Pelodiscus sinensis: one gene and its partner. The protein of the gene in region 1 interacts with the protein of each later gene in a pairwise test. Links are inferred from orthologs where the notes say so. Each region holds a gene or a part of one and is shown on either strand. Other genes may lie near its edges.

What was found.
Region 2: the proteins of BANP (region 1) and SP2 interact in binary tests that used the Homo sapiens proteins (3 or more experiments, as listed by UniProt). The two-hybrid records come from large-scale screens. The link is inferred for Pelodiscus sinensis from reciprocal best matches to the Homo sapiens genes BANP and SP2.

The regions. Positions count from the first base shown.
Region 1 is NC_134722.1:5,025,711-5,033,264, forward strand, and holds the start of BANP (protein BANP), read right to left. Parts: upstream 3,073-7,554; 5' UTR 2,912-3,072; intron 1-2,911. UniProt on the Homo sapiens protein: Controls V(D)J recombination during T-cell development by repressing T-cell receptor (TCR) beta enhancer function. Binds to scaffold/matrix attachment region beta (S/MARbeta), an ATC-rich DNA sequence located upstream of the TCR beta enhancer.
Region 2 is NC_134739.1:13,602,953-13,610,509, forward strand, and holds the start of SP2 (transcription factor Sp2), read left to right. Parts: upstream 1-4,151; 5' UTR 4,152-4,298; intron 4,299-7,557. UniProt on the Homo sapiens protein: Binds to GC box promoters elements and selectively activates mRNA synthesis from genes that contain functional recognition sites.

The DNA.
Region 1 (7,554 bases):
AGGCCAAGAGTAATTATACCCATGAGAAAAAGATTTTATTAGAAGTGAGTTTAGTATGTACAGTGTAACTGCTTTAAACAACAAAAAAATATTTGGCTGGTAGGTTTCTATATATTCCTGTGACAATACTGCATTGGTTGGCCTGGTAGATTCACTATATTCCAAAAACTTGCAGAATGTTTTTGTAGTGTTACTTTTGTGTGTGCTTCTGTGTGTGCAGACAAATTCCCATCTCCACCCAATATTAAAAACAAATGGTTGTCTTTAATCTGGGAAGTATCCTTCTATACATTTCTTATGTGAACCACCAAAATTCCAACTTAAACAATATCTCGGTAAAAAATATTAGAGTCTGGAAGTTGTAATAAAGAGATGAGAATACACTCGTTCTGTGAATTCATCTCATTTGTTTTCATGTGACCATAAAACGGGTAGAAAAAACCTACAACTTGCCTATGTAAATCATTGCAATTTGGTTAATGTAGACTGAAGCTACACAGCACTCATTGTAGAATCATGATCTTAATCAGGACAACCTTGAATACTCTTCTTATACATTTAATCTTTCCTTAGCTAATTAGTGGAAATCAGTAAAAACATCTTTTGTGCCACAGAAAAGTCTTATTTTTGTCCAGGGAACCTAAGTACTGGACTATTTCAAACAAATTGTTTAGAAGAAATTACACTAGTTGAATCCTAATCATATATAATATCAGACAGCAGAATGTCCAGTGGAATAGCGTGATACTATTAGGCATTAACATAACTAATCTCTTCAAGAGCCTTACAATTTTAGGCCTGGCTGGTGCCACTTGATGAATTAAATGTGACAGGATCTCAAAGATGTTAACCTACAAGTTACCATAAATAAGATTTTGGGACAAATCAAAACACAAAATGTGCAAAAGACTTTCTGAAAGAGAGGATGTTTACATCTATGAAAACTAAATTCAATGTTTTAAGTGCTCTAACAATTTATCGAGTTTTTCCTATCTGACATCATTGAATGTATTATTGCAAATAGAATTAGTAAGTTAAAATACAGAGTGATGTACTTACTGAAGTTGACTACAGGGTTTCATGATCAATTAGAACTATTGATAGATTTTATACAACATTCATTTAACATCTATTTAAATGAATTAATGTTTTATTCAAAGAAAATAAAGGGAAACTCAAGTTGCAGTGTTCAAGACTTAAAAATAGTTTCAAGTACCATTCTTCCCCTGCACATTTTGATGGTTTTACAGACACATTTAAAGTGTTTCTCTATAAAAACTACAAAAAAGAAACTGTATTTAAACTGAAACTAACTATACAGAAAGGAAGGTTAAACAAAGTTAACTGGAGAAGTAGCAAACAAAATGCTCAAGCTTTCCCTTGTATTACTAGGAATTATCAGTAAAAATAGCAGGCAAAACTTTTTCAGAAAACGAAGGGTTGTTTTTTTTTCAGTTTCCAAATGCCCATTTAAATAGGTGCTTCTTTTAAAAGAACAAAATTCTTCTCTTGGGAATACTAAAAATAAATGACTATATAAATTATAAAGCCCCCTAGTAAAATTTGGTTATAAGTTTAGTACTGTTCACCATATAAGGAGGGAAAAAAATCTTTAAAAACATGTTAATATTCCAAAGACAAGAGGACAAAACATCTGATGGCTAAGTGCACACTGGTTCAGAAAGTATCAATTCAAAAGAATTGCACTTGCAAATAATGGCATGAAAAAAATTGGCATGTACTTCGTTATGTATCTGTTTCTGTTATTTCCACTCCAACTCATCTGATGAAGTGAGCCTTTCCCACAAGACATGCATCTGACGAAGTGGGTCTTTGCCCACAAAGCTTATGCTCCAACACTTCAGTTAGTCTATAAGGTGCCACAGGACTCCTCGCCGCTTTTCCCACAAGAGCTCATGAGCCTATATGGTTTTGTTAGTCTCTAACATACCACAGGACAACTTGCTTTTCAAGTTACAAACTAATACAGCTACCCCCTCTAAGATCCACTATATCATTTGTGCAATCAGCTGTCAGTACGTCTAAGCCCCAACCTCTTTCCATTTACAAAAGTACACAAGTGACACTTGGGGCGAAGAAAAGGGGGGCGAACAGCCTCTCAATTTTTATTTACAATCCATTTTGAGCGTAGAAGGTGCCCCTGGAGGAAAAAAAAAGTGTCCCTTCCCAAAAAACTCACCATGTAGTGTATGTGCTATGCTGGGGTGGAGGGGAAAGGAATTACATCTGCCTCACCAGCCCTTTTGATAAGAGTATCGCAACCACAGAGCGGCTCCCTCAAGATTGTGATACCCATGGGAGAATAAATGTAGGGTGCCCCCCATGCTAGCCTTGCAGCCATGGACATAGTGGGACTGAGGACTATGGTGGGGCAGCCCCCCCCCCGCGGGTAGTGCTACCCGTGGGGGAAGGAATAAAGTAGCGCAATCTCCCCTTAACGCTAGCCCTGCAACCACTGGGGGGGGGGTCTGAGCCCCACCCCTCCTAGGACTATAGTGGGACAGCACTGGGTTGGGCAGCGAACAGCCCCTCCCCCACAGTGCGGCGGGGGGGGAACGCAGAGACACCCCCCGCCAGAGCCCCACACGGGGGGGGGGAAGCCCCCCCCGCAGAGACCCCACCACAGTGCAGCCCCACGGGGCGGGGGCCTGTCCGCCGGGGCGAGGGGGGGGGAGTGGAGAGTCACCAGAGCCCACAGGCAGGAGGGGCGGGGGGAGAGCGCCCCCAGCTGGGGGAGAGCCCCCCCCGGCTGGGCCCCTCCCTGCGCCTCTCGCTCGCGGCCCGGTTGCTAGGCCAAGGCGGTGAGGAGCGGGGCAGCCGTGCCGCGCCCCGGCCCTCAGGCCCCAGAGAGGCCGGCCCCAGCCAGCCGGCCGCGGGGAGCCGCGGTTACCGTGTGTGGTGACGAATTCTCGTGGTGTTTGTCGAGCGGCTGCGATAATGGCGTCCTTCCTCGCGAGAGATCTCCGCGTCCTCACTGCGCAGGCGCTGCGCCGCCGCGCCGCTCCCGCTCCTTCCCTCGCGCCCCGCCACCGCCCTCCTCGAGAGGCTCGCGCAGCCGCCTAGAGAAGCCTCCCCGCAAACCGCCCTTAACCGCCGCAAGGCCGATGTTGACTACAACTCCCAGACGCCCGTGCGCGAGGCCTGTGCTCCCAAGAGGCAGGCTGGGATGTGTAGTACCGTAGCGTGCCCCCGTGCCTGCTGGGAGTTGTAGTCCAAAAAGGCCCTGCGTTTTCTAGCCCCATTTTATGCCAGTGTGGTGTCACCCTTGGTAATTACACCCCCTCCTCTCACCACCACACTGAGTCACAGGCGGGCTTGTGTGTCTGGCTGTTGCTGGAAACGGACCATACCCATTTTTCTGGTTTGGATCTGGTATCATGGGCTATGTCTACACTGGCATGATTTCCCGGAAATGCTTTTAACGGAAAAGTTTTCCGTTAAAAGTATTTTTGGAAAAGCACGTCTAGATTGGCAGGATGCTTTTCCACAACAGCACTTTTTGCAGAAAAGCGTCCATGGCCAATCTAGACGCGGTTTTCCACAAAAAAGCCCTGATTGCCATTTTCACAATCGGGGCTTTTTTGCGGAAAATAGTACTGTGCTGTTTACACTGGCCTTTTTGCGCAAAAGTCTTTTGGAAAAAGACTTTTGCCCAAACAGGAGCAGCATAATATTTCCGGAAAAGCACTGACGATCTTATATGAGATCGACAGTGCTTTTCCAGAAATCCAAGCGGCCAGTGTAGACAGCTGGCAAGTTTTTCTGCAAAATCTAGACACAGCCATGGGGTTTTGCAAAACCCGGTCTTTGTGACACATACAGACCTCGTTTGTCTACAGATGGAATTGAACCTGACACCTCTGGAGCTCAGTGCATCTACTGCATGAGCTAAAAGTTAGCTTCTTTTTAGCAAAGGCTGTAGAGCAGACTGGTTATTCTTTCTGCAAGTGGTCTCAGTGTTGTTAGATGGTAATAAGAGATCTGGGGTTAGCAGCACTCAGTATGCCATGGTGACATAGAAAACTGGGACAATATGCTGCTTCCACAAGAGGATCCCGGAGTCACTGAGCAGCAGTAGCCCGGTAGAAGGGTATAGCACTTCAGCAGGCCTGCTCCCAATCCATATGGATTCTGCATATTAGAGACAGCAACAGGCAAGAATAGCTGTCAGAGTAGGGTGACCATATTTCCCTAAGCTGAGTATGGAACACCTGGTAACATTACTCATATTCAAGAGAGCTCAATGACAATCAATCAGAACCATGCAGTACAAATGTTCAAATTAACCTCAGGTTGACTGAGACCCTGTTAAAATGAAATACCACATAGCTAGAATCTTTTTACTTTCTTATTTTCAGGGTTTGCACAAGGAAAGTTGACATGCACACATTCCTGTACACTCCTCTCACACAGAGATGGGGGTAACTGACAGACCTGACCCAACCCTCCCTATCCAGTGCTCTCTACCCTTCACGCCTGGCTAGGCCTCCTGGGACAGATCCATCTCTCCTGGTACACCTTCTCAGGACAACATTTGGAGGCATGCAGGGTCACAGGTCCCCTCCCCAGATTTCTGTTGGAGTTCATACCAGAACATGGCAAAGAGCAGCCTTTCGTCACTGTGCAGGAGGGAAGGGAGGGGAGCTGCTTCCAGTTGAAGAGGAGAGAGAGTGGGGATGCCCTGGCTCATGTTTTTCCAGTGGTCATTTCTTCCCTCCCACCCTCTCCCCTATGGTTAGAAGCAGCTTGTCCCTTCCTGCCAGCACCATGTAGAAAGGCAACTGACACCTCCAAGCTGCTGCTGGTCACGGACACAGCCCCCAGTTGCCTCCTGTCCCTGGTGACAGCACAGACAGGAAGGGGTTAAGCCTTAAGGATGCCTTGCGCACCAGGATCCAGGAAACCTGGCTGCAGGGGCATCAGCCAACCTGGCCAGAGAGGGGGCTCAGCAGGGGAGAGTGCCCAGGGGACAAAGCAGCCCAGCACTCCCTAGGGACAGGACTTAGGGCATGTGAAGAGGCTGCTAAGCACCCTGCTTGGGGACCTGCAGGGATGAGGAACAAACAAGCTGGAAGCAGCTTCCTCCCTGCCACTCCAGAGCTTATCCAGGGAGCAGAGAAGCTTCCTCATGCCGGCGGTGTGAAGGGCTTTGGCGCATGAAGGTCTCGGCTCTTCCTGGGCAGTGCCTTAGGCCAGAGGATCTTGACCTTTCCCTGGGTGCAAGACCAGCCGGAGGCAGTGAGGGAAGCCAGGCTATTGGTAAGATGAATGATCTGACCAGGCAGTGGCTGGTTTTCTGCACAGTGCCGGGAGTGGGATGTGCCTCACCAGGAGGGAGATGTAGCAACAACAATGCGGGCGGGGGGGGGGGGGGGAGTGAACAGGCACAGCAGGGAGAGGACAGTGAGATGGGAAGCATGTAAATGGCCATTGGGTGGGCAGCAGAGGTGGCACGTAACTAGCCACTACCTGCCCATGTTCCTCAGCCACTGGAGCGAGCAGCCAGAGCTGGCTGGCAATAGGGCGGGGCAGCCTGCTGGCCAGGAGTTGGCATGCAGAAGGGACTCCATGGATGGACAAGTAGGAAGAACAACTAGCCACACATGCTGCAGCTTTAGCTGACCACGAGCCTCACACACTCAACTCCGTCGTCAGCCACTGGACCCCGTCCCATCCCCTCGCCTCCTCACTCACCACTGGTGGTTGGATGGCTAGTGAGCAAGGATACTGGCCAGTAGTAGAGCCAGTTGTGCCCTCTAAGCTTCACAGCTGATTAATCAGTCCCGCCCAGTCAGTCAGCTCTGTGCATGGAGCCCTAAGCCTTTGATTCGGCAGGGCTGATTAATCACCTGTGAAGCGATACAGCCTCACAACTTAGAGAAAACACTGAGTAGGACCCACCGGTACTGATGGGAGGAAGAGAAAGAAAATATAGGACAATTTGCTCATTTTTAAGAAAAAGTGGGGACACCTGCAGGAAGGCTTAAATATGGGACTGCCCCTTTAAAAATTGGGCAGCTGGTCAGTCTATGTGGGAGGTATCATGGGGAGTGCGGGGATCATGGAGCACCATAATCATGGGAAAAGAAGAAGCAAATAAACAGGGGGATCTGAGCGGATCTGCTTCCATGAGCAGGGATGACAGCCGCTGGCATCGTGCAACATTAACTACCCCAAAAGCAGCAGCACCACAACTACTAAAGTGTGATTGGAGCAGATCCTGAGGTGACAGGTCTAGTGGTGAGTTGAGGTAAAGAATTGATAAGATCACTGCCTTGAAGAGAAGGACCTAGAACCAGGGTGTAAGGCTGAGACTATGTTTTGCATTTAGAGACCATCTTCTTCTCCAGTAACTGTGTAGCACATAAACATGCCTAATGTAAAACAGCGGTGCATGAGAAGAGCCTTGAAGCTCACAGCCAGATTCTGAAATAGATGTCTTAGATGTCTCATTCCTTTTAGTTATTTTTCTCCTCCCTTGACATATCGGTTCCACTCATTTTGCACAGCCACTGACTCCCAAATCCATACAAGTTACAGCACTTTCCCCCACTATCCATATTTCTACCTATTTATACCACCGTTTATGTCATTGTTGAATTTGGCTCTAAAGCTAGCAAATGAGTTGAAATACCTTGCTGCATTTGGCTGATTGTGGCTCTGTCGTCCGGTGGATTGGGCCTGTAAGAAATATCTATGATCTCTTATTATTAAAAACAAAATGTGGCCACTAGGTGGTAAACTTAAACAACAAATAGTCTAGCAGCACCTTAGAGACTAACAAAAAATGTATATGGAATCATGAGCTTTTGTGGGTATAACCTTCTTCTAGGCACAGGCCCAGCTAAAAGTATATCAACTCCAGTAACGGTTTTTGGCTCAGTTTACTGGGGAGCATTATTTTAGATTTTTACAATAATCAGTGCCAATTTGCTTTTTTTTTTTTTAAATAAAGCTTTTATTAAGACAGTCTTTATATCCTTCTTGCCATCTCAATCCCCATTTCTCCATGTCCATAGTATTTACACAGCCAGAGAGGGATCCCTGCAGTGGATATGGGAAGGAGTGGTGGCAGATATAACAGGTGGAAGAGGTAACTTTATCCTCCCACTTCTTCCATGCCTCCACCCACCTCCTCTGATCTGGATTTTCATATATGAACTTGGGTCAAATTCCCATAAACTTCAACAGGAGTGAAAAATGAGTGAGACTTTCCAGATAATAATGGCATTCTTTATTTATATAGCGTGTCCTACCAGAAGATGTTTTAATATTCCCACACAGATGAGAATTCGGGATTTTTTATTTTAACTCAAAAATCCAAATTGTGGCCCACATTTTGTATTGCATATATGGTATAATATATATATATATATGCAAACTTTTATCTAAATTGCTATTAACATTATTTTCTCACAGAAGACATCTTTTTTGTTTTCTCTTTGTTTTAGCTTTCATCTGAAAAGAATTCCTGGAGAAATAGCTACTCTCACATCTCCCATATGGATCTCCATGTTTAGCCCATTCGTCAGT
Region 2 (7,557 bases), on another chromosome or scaffold:
GCCGAGGGAGCGGGACGCTCCCCCACCCTGTGCCTTTGGGACGCCAGAGGAGTGTGGACTTTTGGGGAGATTCGTGCCCCGAGGTCTAGGCCAGCCAGGGCCTCCCCTGAGTCTCTCCGTCACTCGGGCCCTGGGCCCCTCCAATTCTCCTGCCCCCCACCTCGCCCTGAGGCTTTAAGGGCTCAGGGAGCCAGCAGTGTGTGGGAGGAAGCTCCTGTGTTCAGCCCGTTAGGCCGTGGTCCCGTGTGGGGCAGGTCGGGACCCGCCTTCCCCACCGCAGCCAGCAGGTCGAGATCAAAGCCCGGGCGCCCGCCGGAATCCGAGCAAAACTCTGCCGTGGGGAAGCCAGTTCCAGGAACGGGGTGGGGGGGGGGTGTGCAGCTGGGAGCGAGCGCTGTGCCCAAATGCCCCCTCTCTCTGGGTTGGGGGGGAGGGGCTTGGTTGCACCCCCCCCCAAACTCCAGGAAGAGCTGGCTCACTTTGCAGGACCCCGGCGTCCCATCTCAGCCCTGCCAAACCCGGCGGGCCACTGCTGGGCTGCTCCGTGGAGGAGCCTGCAACCCCGCCTGCCCCTGCCGGCTACAAGCATCGGGGGCAGGGTGGCGAACAGCCCCTTCTGCCGACCCCCCGCCAGCCTTCCTGCCCCCACAGCCCCTCCCCCTGCAGAGCCGCTGCCCACTCGGTGCTCGGGCTGCGTAGGGCACCAGAAGTCACAAGGAAGGCCCAGGCTAGGCGGCAGGCCATGGGGCGGCGTGCTCGGTCCGCTGCAGAACCGAACCCTCGTGTGTGGCAAGCAGGCGGCTGTCCGGACGCAGGGGCCTGCGGGTGAGACACGCACAAGAATAAAGTCCTGCTGCTGGGGATCTGATGGCTCTTCCCCCAGGAGGCCGGGGGCACAGCACAGCGGCTGTCAATGACAGTCCAGCCTGGAACCCGCTTCTGCTCCTCCGCCCCCATGATCCTGCCCTACAGGAGCCCACATGCACCTTTGCGTCTGGCCCGTTGGCAGCTCCCACCTTGCTCTTTCTCTTGGTGTCCTGGGAGCTGGGTCGGCCCATTGAGGGAGGAGCCAGGCTCTGGGACAGACGGCCCCAGCGAGTTCTGTTGAACACAAGAACCTAAGAGCGGCCTGACCGGGTCAGAGCAAAGGCCCATCCAGCCCAGTGTCCTGTCGGCCCACAGTGGCCACTGCCAGTGCCCCAGAGGGAGGGAACAGAACAGGGAATCCTCACGGGATCCCTCCCCTGTGATCCATTTCCAGACAAACAGCGGTTACGGACACTGTTCCTACCCCTCCTGGCTAATAGCCGTTGATGGTCCTAACCTCCGTGAATGTATCTAGTTCTTTTTTGAACCCTGTTAAAGTCCTAGTCTTCACCACATCCTCTGGCGAGGAGTTCCACAGGTTGACAGTGCACTGCGTGAAGAAAAACTTCCTTTGGTTCATTTTAAACCTGCTGCCTGTTAATTTCATTTGGTGACCCCTAGTTCTTATACTGTGGCAATAAGAAAATAACTTTTCCTTATTCACTTTTTCCACACCAGTCATGATTGTATAGACCTCTATCCTATCCCCCCTTAGTCTCCTGTTTTCTAAGCTGAAAAGTCCCAGTCTTTTAAATCTCTCTTCTTATGGGACCCGCTCCAAACCCCTCAGCATTTTTGTTGCCCTTTCCTGAACCTTTCCCAATGCCAGTAGATCTTTTTGAGATGAGGCGACCACATCTGTGCGCAGTATTCCAGATGTGGGTGTCCCATGGTTTTATACAGAGGCAATAAGATATTCTCTGACTTATTCTCTATCCCTTTCTTAATGACTCCTAACATTCTGTTTGCTTTTGTGACGGCTGCTGCACACTGAGTGGATGTTTTCAGAGAACGCTCCACAATGACTCCAAGATCTCTCTTGAGCAGTTGTAGCTAAATTAGTCCCCATCTAATGGGAGCAGGATCAGGCCCTTAGGTTTAAGCTCTTCAAGGAAGGGGTCATCTTTTTGTTCTGTGTTGTCTAATGCCTAGCGCAGTGGTGTCCTGGGTCAGGCCAGAGGCTAGTAAGTTACTGCAGTATAGCTAATATAATCATAAATATCACCAGGGATTGAGTTTATGATTTTTATTGGTGGGCAAGAACATGTATGATTAATCCATACCCATTAATATTGGATTCGTGTGGTACCCAAACATGTGCTAGGGCAGTGTTTCCCCACCAGTGGTACAAGGACCCTTAGGGGTACTCAACAGAAGTCTGGGGGATACGTCACCACAACTGAAATTTGAAGAAAACTGAATTTTTGTTTTACTTTTTACAGCGTTTGTACTTTTTTACACCCAAAAATGTCATCGCCTGCCTGCCTACGATTAAGTTGTTTAAACAGATGGGTTGCAATGGTAGAAAAAAAAATGTGTGTGTCTGAAAACTGTAGGTATGGGGAGGGGGGTACTTATAATTTTTTTAAAGGGGTACTTACTTTTTTTTTAAAAGAGGGTACTTTATAAAAAAAGGTTGAGAAAAAAGGCCCTGTGTTCTCTTTAAATTGTTGTGAGAATGCCCAGAGCAATCAGATGGGCCCTTACTATTATAAAGAGAAAGGAAGGAAGAACAAACGCATAGAATATGTTTTCCCTGTGTTTCCAGACTCTGGGCAGACCGCATGGTTGGCAATCACAGTGTCACATAGGATAGAACGAGTACTGCAAGAATCCTGAGAACCGATTTGCAAATTCTCAAGTATTTGACTCCCTCTGGAGTTTCCGAATGACCTCTTCAGCCAGTTTCAACTGACTAGTTTTCAAGAGCCTCCACCCCAGTCCTGCTCCATTCCATACAAGGGATGATGGTAAGTCAGGTCTAGCTGTTGCACGTAAACATGAGCCTCTGTCCATACTCTGGTCACGTCACACTGGGAGCTGCTAGATTCGGAACATTTGTAAAAATCTGCTCCTTGTTTAGATGCCGCAACAGGAGTTGAAATCTTTTGAAAAATCTGTTTCCAGTTTTGTGTGCTGAATATTGGACAATCTTGCCCTTAGCTCTGTTGAGTAGTAGGCCTCAGGAATAGAGCCAGGAACAGGACAATGGATTTTAAAAAGCAAAGTTCCACCTTTCCCTTAACTTCCTTTTCCTTGCTCTTAGATTGTGGGCGCCTGGCAGCGAGGACAGTTCTTGAGTATCTGGATAGCACCAGTGCCTCAGTGGGCAGCACAGTTCATAATACTGTCCTAGGTGTTCGATAGCTTCAGAGGGGTAGCCGAATTAAGTCTGTAACAGGAAAAACTTAAAAACCAAGATATAGTCTGGTAGCACTTTAAAGACTAACAATCTACACGTTTCGTTAGTCTTTACCGTGCTATCAGTCTATTTGCTGCTTTCTTATGTGTTTAATGTTACGAATAGCACCCCCTTGATTACATATTAATAAGTAACTTCCTTCATCGCACGGGATCCCAGAGCACTTTTTGTACCAGGAGGGCCGGGCTGTACGGAAATGCAGCCACCTCTAGGGTGCAGTGGGGCTACTGGCTGCAAAAGTGGCTGGTGAGGCGGGTGGGTGAGATGTTGCAGGGGGGCTCGGCAGCCACAAACCCATTGGGTTAGTCACTGGGAGCATGGGGGGGGGCTCAGCCCCAGCTGGCTGCCCACCATCTGCAGCCAATCTGGAACAAGTGCTGGCCATTGGAAGAGGGGGAGGGGAACAGCCAGGGAAATGCAACCACCTCTGAGGCGGAACAGCTGTCGCTGCTATTAACCTTCCAGAATTCAAGGCCCAGCTGATTGCGAGGAGCCAATAGGAGGAGGCACTGGATAGCGTCGTTCTTTGATTGGTTAAGGAACCTATCAATCTTGTTCTTCAGTGTCCAATCGTGGAACACTACTGAAAAAAATCCCGCCTACTTTAAGTCCACTTCTCCCCCCCCCCCACAGCTGTCAATCAATTACTAGTGGGCGAAAGTCTGGTCTCCCGTCTACTGGTAAGCAGCGCCGTCAATCAGACATCGGCCCTCTTATTGGTTCTCCGCGGCCGTCCGTCATTCTCAAATCAGCCCTTCATTGGTGCGGCTGGCGTTCCATCACTGGGGCCGATTGACCGCGGCGGACGTCAGTCAGGCGATAGCGGAGCCCGATTGGCCCGCCCGAGGCGGCCTGCGCTGCCATTGGCTGGGAGGCGCGCGGGTCGGGCGGGGATTGGCCGTGCGGGCGCTGAGGGGGCGGGCCGCTCAGGGCGGTGCCCGGGCGGCCGAGGAGGAGGAAGATGGCGCCGTGAGGGGGTCGGAGCCGCCGCCGCCTCCGCTCCAGCCGGGTCTGTGCAGGCCGCGCGCGCCGCTGCCCCGGGCGGGGGGCGGGGCGGGCAGGTCGCGGGAGCCCCGCCCCGAGGCCCGCGGACGGGGGGGCGGGGCGCGGGGGAGGGGCCGGGCCCGGGGCCCCGGAGCCGGGGGGGGAGGGGCCCCGACCCTGCTGCAACGGGGAGCCGGAAGGGGGCGGGCGGCTCGGGCGGGCGGCGCTTCCGGGGCCCGGGAGGGGGCGGGACGGGCGGCGTTGGCCCGCCTCCCCGGGGACCCGCAGCCTGCGGGAGGGGGGAGCTTGCAACCCGCCCCCCCCACGTGCATTGGGCCGGGCACGGGGGGGGGGGCAGGGAAATTTGCATAGCCCCCCCCTGTGCATGGGGGCACCAGGCACGGGGGCAGGGAGGTTTGCATGCCCCCCCCATGCATTGAGCCGGGCATGGGGGCACCAGGCACGGGGGGGCAGGGAGATTTGCATAGCCCCCCCCTCTGTGCATGGGGGCACCAGGCACGGGGGGGCAGGGAGATTTGCATAGCCCCCCCTCTGTGCATGGGGGCACCAGGCACGGGGGGGCAGGGAGATTTGCATAGCCCCCCCCTCTGTGCATGGGGGCACCAGGCACGGGGGGGGCAGGGAGATTTGCATAGCCCCCCCCCTCGGTGCATGGGGGCACCAGGCACGGGGGGGCAGGGAGATTTGCATAGCCCCCCCCTCTGTGCATGGGGGCACCAGGCACGGGGGGGGGCAGGGAGATTTGCATAGCCCCCCCCCTCTGTGCATGGGGGCACCAGGCACGGGGGGGCAGGGAGATTTGCATAGCCCCCCCCCCTCTGTGCATGGGGGCACCAGGCACGGGGGGGCAGGGAGATTTGCATAGCCCCCCCCCTCTGTGCATGGGGGCACCAGGCACGGGGGCAGGGAGGTTTGCATGCCCCCCCCATGCATTGAGCCGGGCATGGGGGCACCAGGCACTAGGGGGGCAGGGAGGTTTGCATGCCCTCCCCCCTTGGTGCATTGGGCTGGGCATTGGGAGGCACTAGTGATCGGCAGGGATTAGGGAGATTTGCGTGGCCCCTCGTGCACTGGGGGCATTGGGATTGGCCGGGGGTGCGGCGGTTTGCTTTGTCCTCACTGCATTTTCCTAGGGAGAGGAACAGTGGGGTCAGGGTTTGTATGGTCCAAAGTGCACTGAGGTGGGTGTCGGGGCTCATGGCACCTACGGGCATGGTGAGGCACCTCAGGGAAGGAGATAAGCAGGGTGCCCGAGGGGATTGATCTGGAATGTGTTTCCCTGCTGTACATGGGGTAGGATGGGATGACACTGGCGGAGTCAGCAGGGGTGCATGGGGCCTCAGGGATCCTTGGTGCCTGGGTGCATAGTGCTGGAGCATCTCCCCTGCTTTGGGAGCCACAGGGTGCAGCAGGACTGATGCTGATGGAAGTCTTTGTTGGGCCTGATCCCTGTGTCATTCCTTGATACCGCTGGAGTCCCAAGGGCTCCATCGAACACATTTTTACCGTCAAGCAGTTAAAATTCCTGCACCCTCCATATATCTCCTCCTGTCTTGATAGGGAGTCTGAGAAGTACAGAGTTAGAGACCAGAGTGTGGGACCAAGTAGCTCAAGACAGTATCTTTGTGTTGGGTCTGTGTTAAGTCTGCGTATGGAGAGAGGGGTGTGTGTGTGCGCATGTGTGCTCGCTGTCTGGAAGCTATTCACCTATAGAACATGGCATCTATATTGTAAAAACACCAGTAGCCACATGTACGCCCACTGTTACAGTACTATGATGGGGGATTTCTGTAAAAAAGTCTATTGAGCACAAAGCCGTAGAGCAGACTTATGTATAGCAAAGTAAAAGGCTTGTGTCGTCTCAGTGCAGCCTGATGTGCCTGCCGGTTGCACGTTTGATGATAGTGAAAACTTTCTTTGAGGGGGAAAAAGCAAGGTGTTAAAAAAATCAGACTTGATAAAGAAACTCCAAACTACCACATTGAAGTTTTGGTGCTAGAGGAATCACTCAGGTTAAACATTGTATCTTAAACAATTTGCCTCGCTGATAAGCACTTAAGAGTATTTAAGGGGGTGCTGATTAGTTGAAATAAACACATTTTAAAAAATCATTTTTGCTAGAGAACACCCTTTGAATTCCTGGGGGGAAAATGTATATATACATTTTCAGTTCCCTGGTAGGTATTTATAAGGGCCTTATCATGTATAACTTATTAGGCATATGTTTTACAGGAAGGGGAATTAACCACTGGAAGGCCCTATCTAAGGCTGCATTTGAGTCTTTGTCACTTCAGATTTCTAATAAACCAGGATTGGATTTTCTTTCTCAAGTGTATGCGCCAGTCTAGCTCAACCAGAAGTTGTGGTTTGATGCAGAAACCGCTTGGTGAAATTCTGTGGCCTGTGTTGTTCAGGGGGCCAGACTAAATGATTGCATGGGTCTCTTTGACCTGAAATTCATAACATTTGTTTCTCCTTTGTACTTAGTGAGTCTCAACTTTTTGAGACAGCTGTGCGCCTGTCAAGAGTCTGATTTGTCTGAGTACGCCAGGTTTCACCTCGCTTAAAAACACCTGCTCGTTTACAGATTGACATAAAAATACAAAAGGGCCACAGCTCACTAGTACTGAAAAATTGATGGCGTTCTCATTTTTGCCAAATAATTATAAAATCAATTTGAATAAATAGTGGTCTGTACATTGCAGTGTATCGTATATAGAGCAGTCTGAACAACTCATTGTAAGACCTGTTAGATTGTAATGGCTTCGCTAGAACTTCTCATGTAGCCTGTTATAAAACTAAGCAAATAGCTCGATGAGTTGGTGTACCCCCAGGAATATGTTTCCCTGATTGAGAGCCATTGCTCTACAGGGTAACGATGAAACCATCTAAACACAAAGGGCTGGTCAATCCACAGAGTAAATACCCTGGACAAATACTTTTCCTGTCACTTCTTTTTGGCTGTGTCTACACTTAAAATGCTCCAGCAGCACAACTGCCGGGCTGCGAGGGAAGTGCTTCAGTGTAAATGCTCGCTAACCATTTCACACAGTTCTAAGTGCTCCGCTAGCCTTTCGTTTTGGGCCCAGTCTACCTGGCGTGCCTCTTCGCTATAGAACCAGAGCTCTGCTCAGCTACCAAGTGCATCTTGGTAAAGAGTGAGAGTCTCCAAGCATCTTGTGGACACTAAAGAAATAATAAATAACGGTTGTGCAGAATGCCGGTTGAGAAATAAAATGAATTTCTCCCCAGCTGACTTGTGG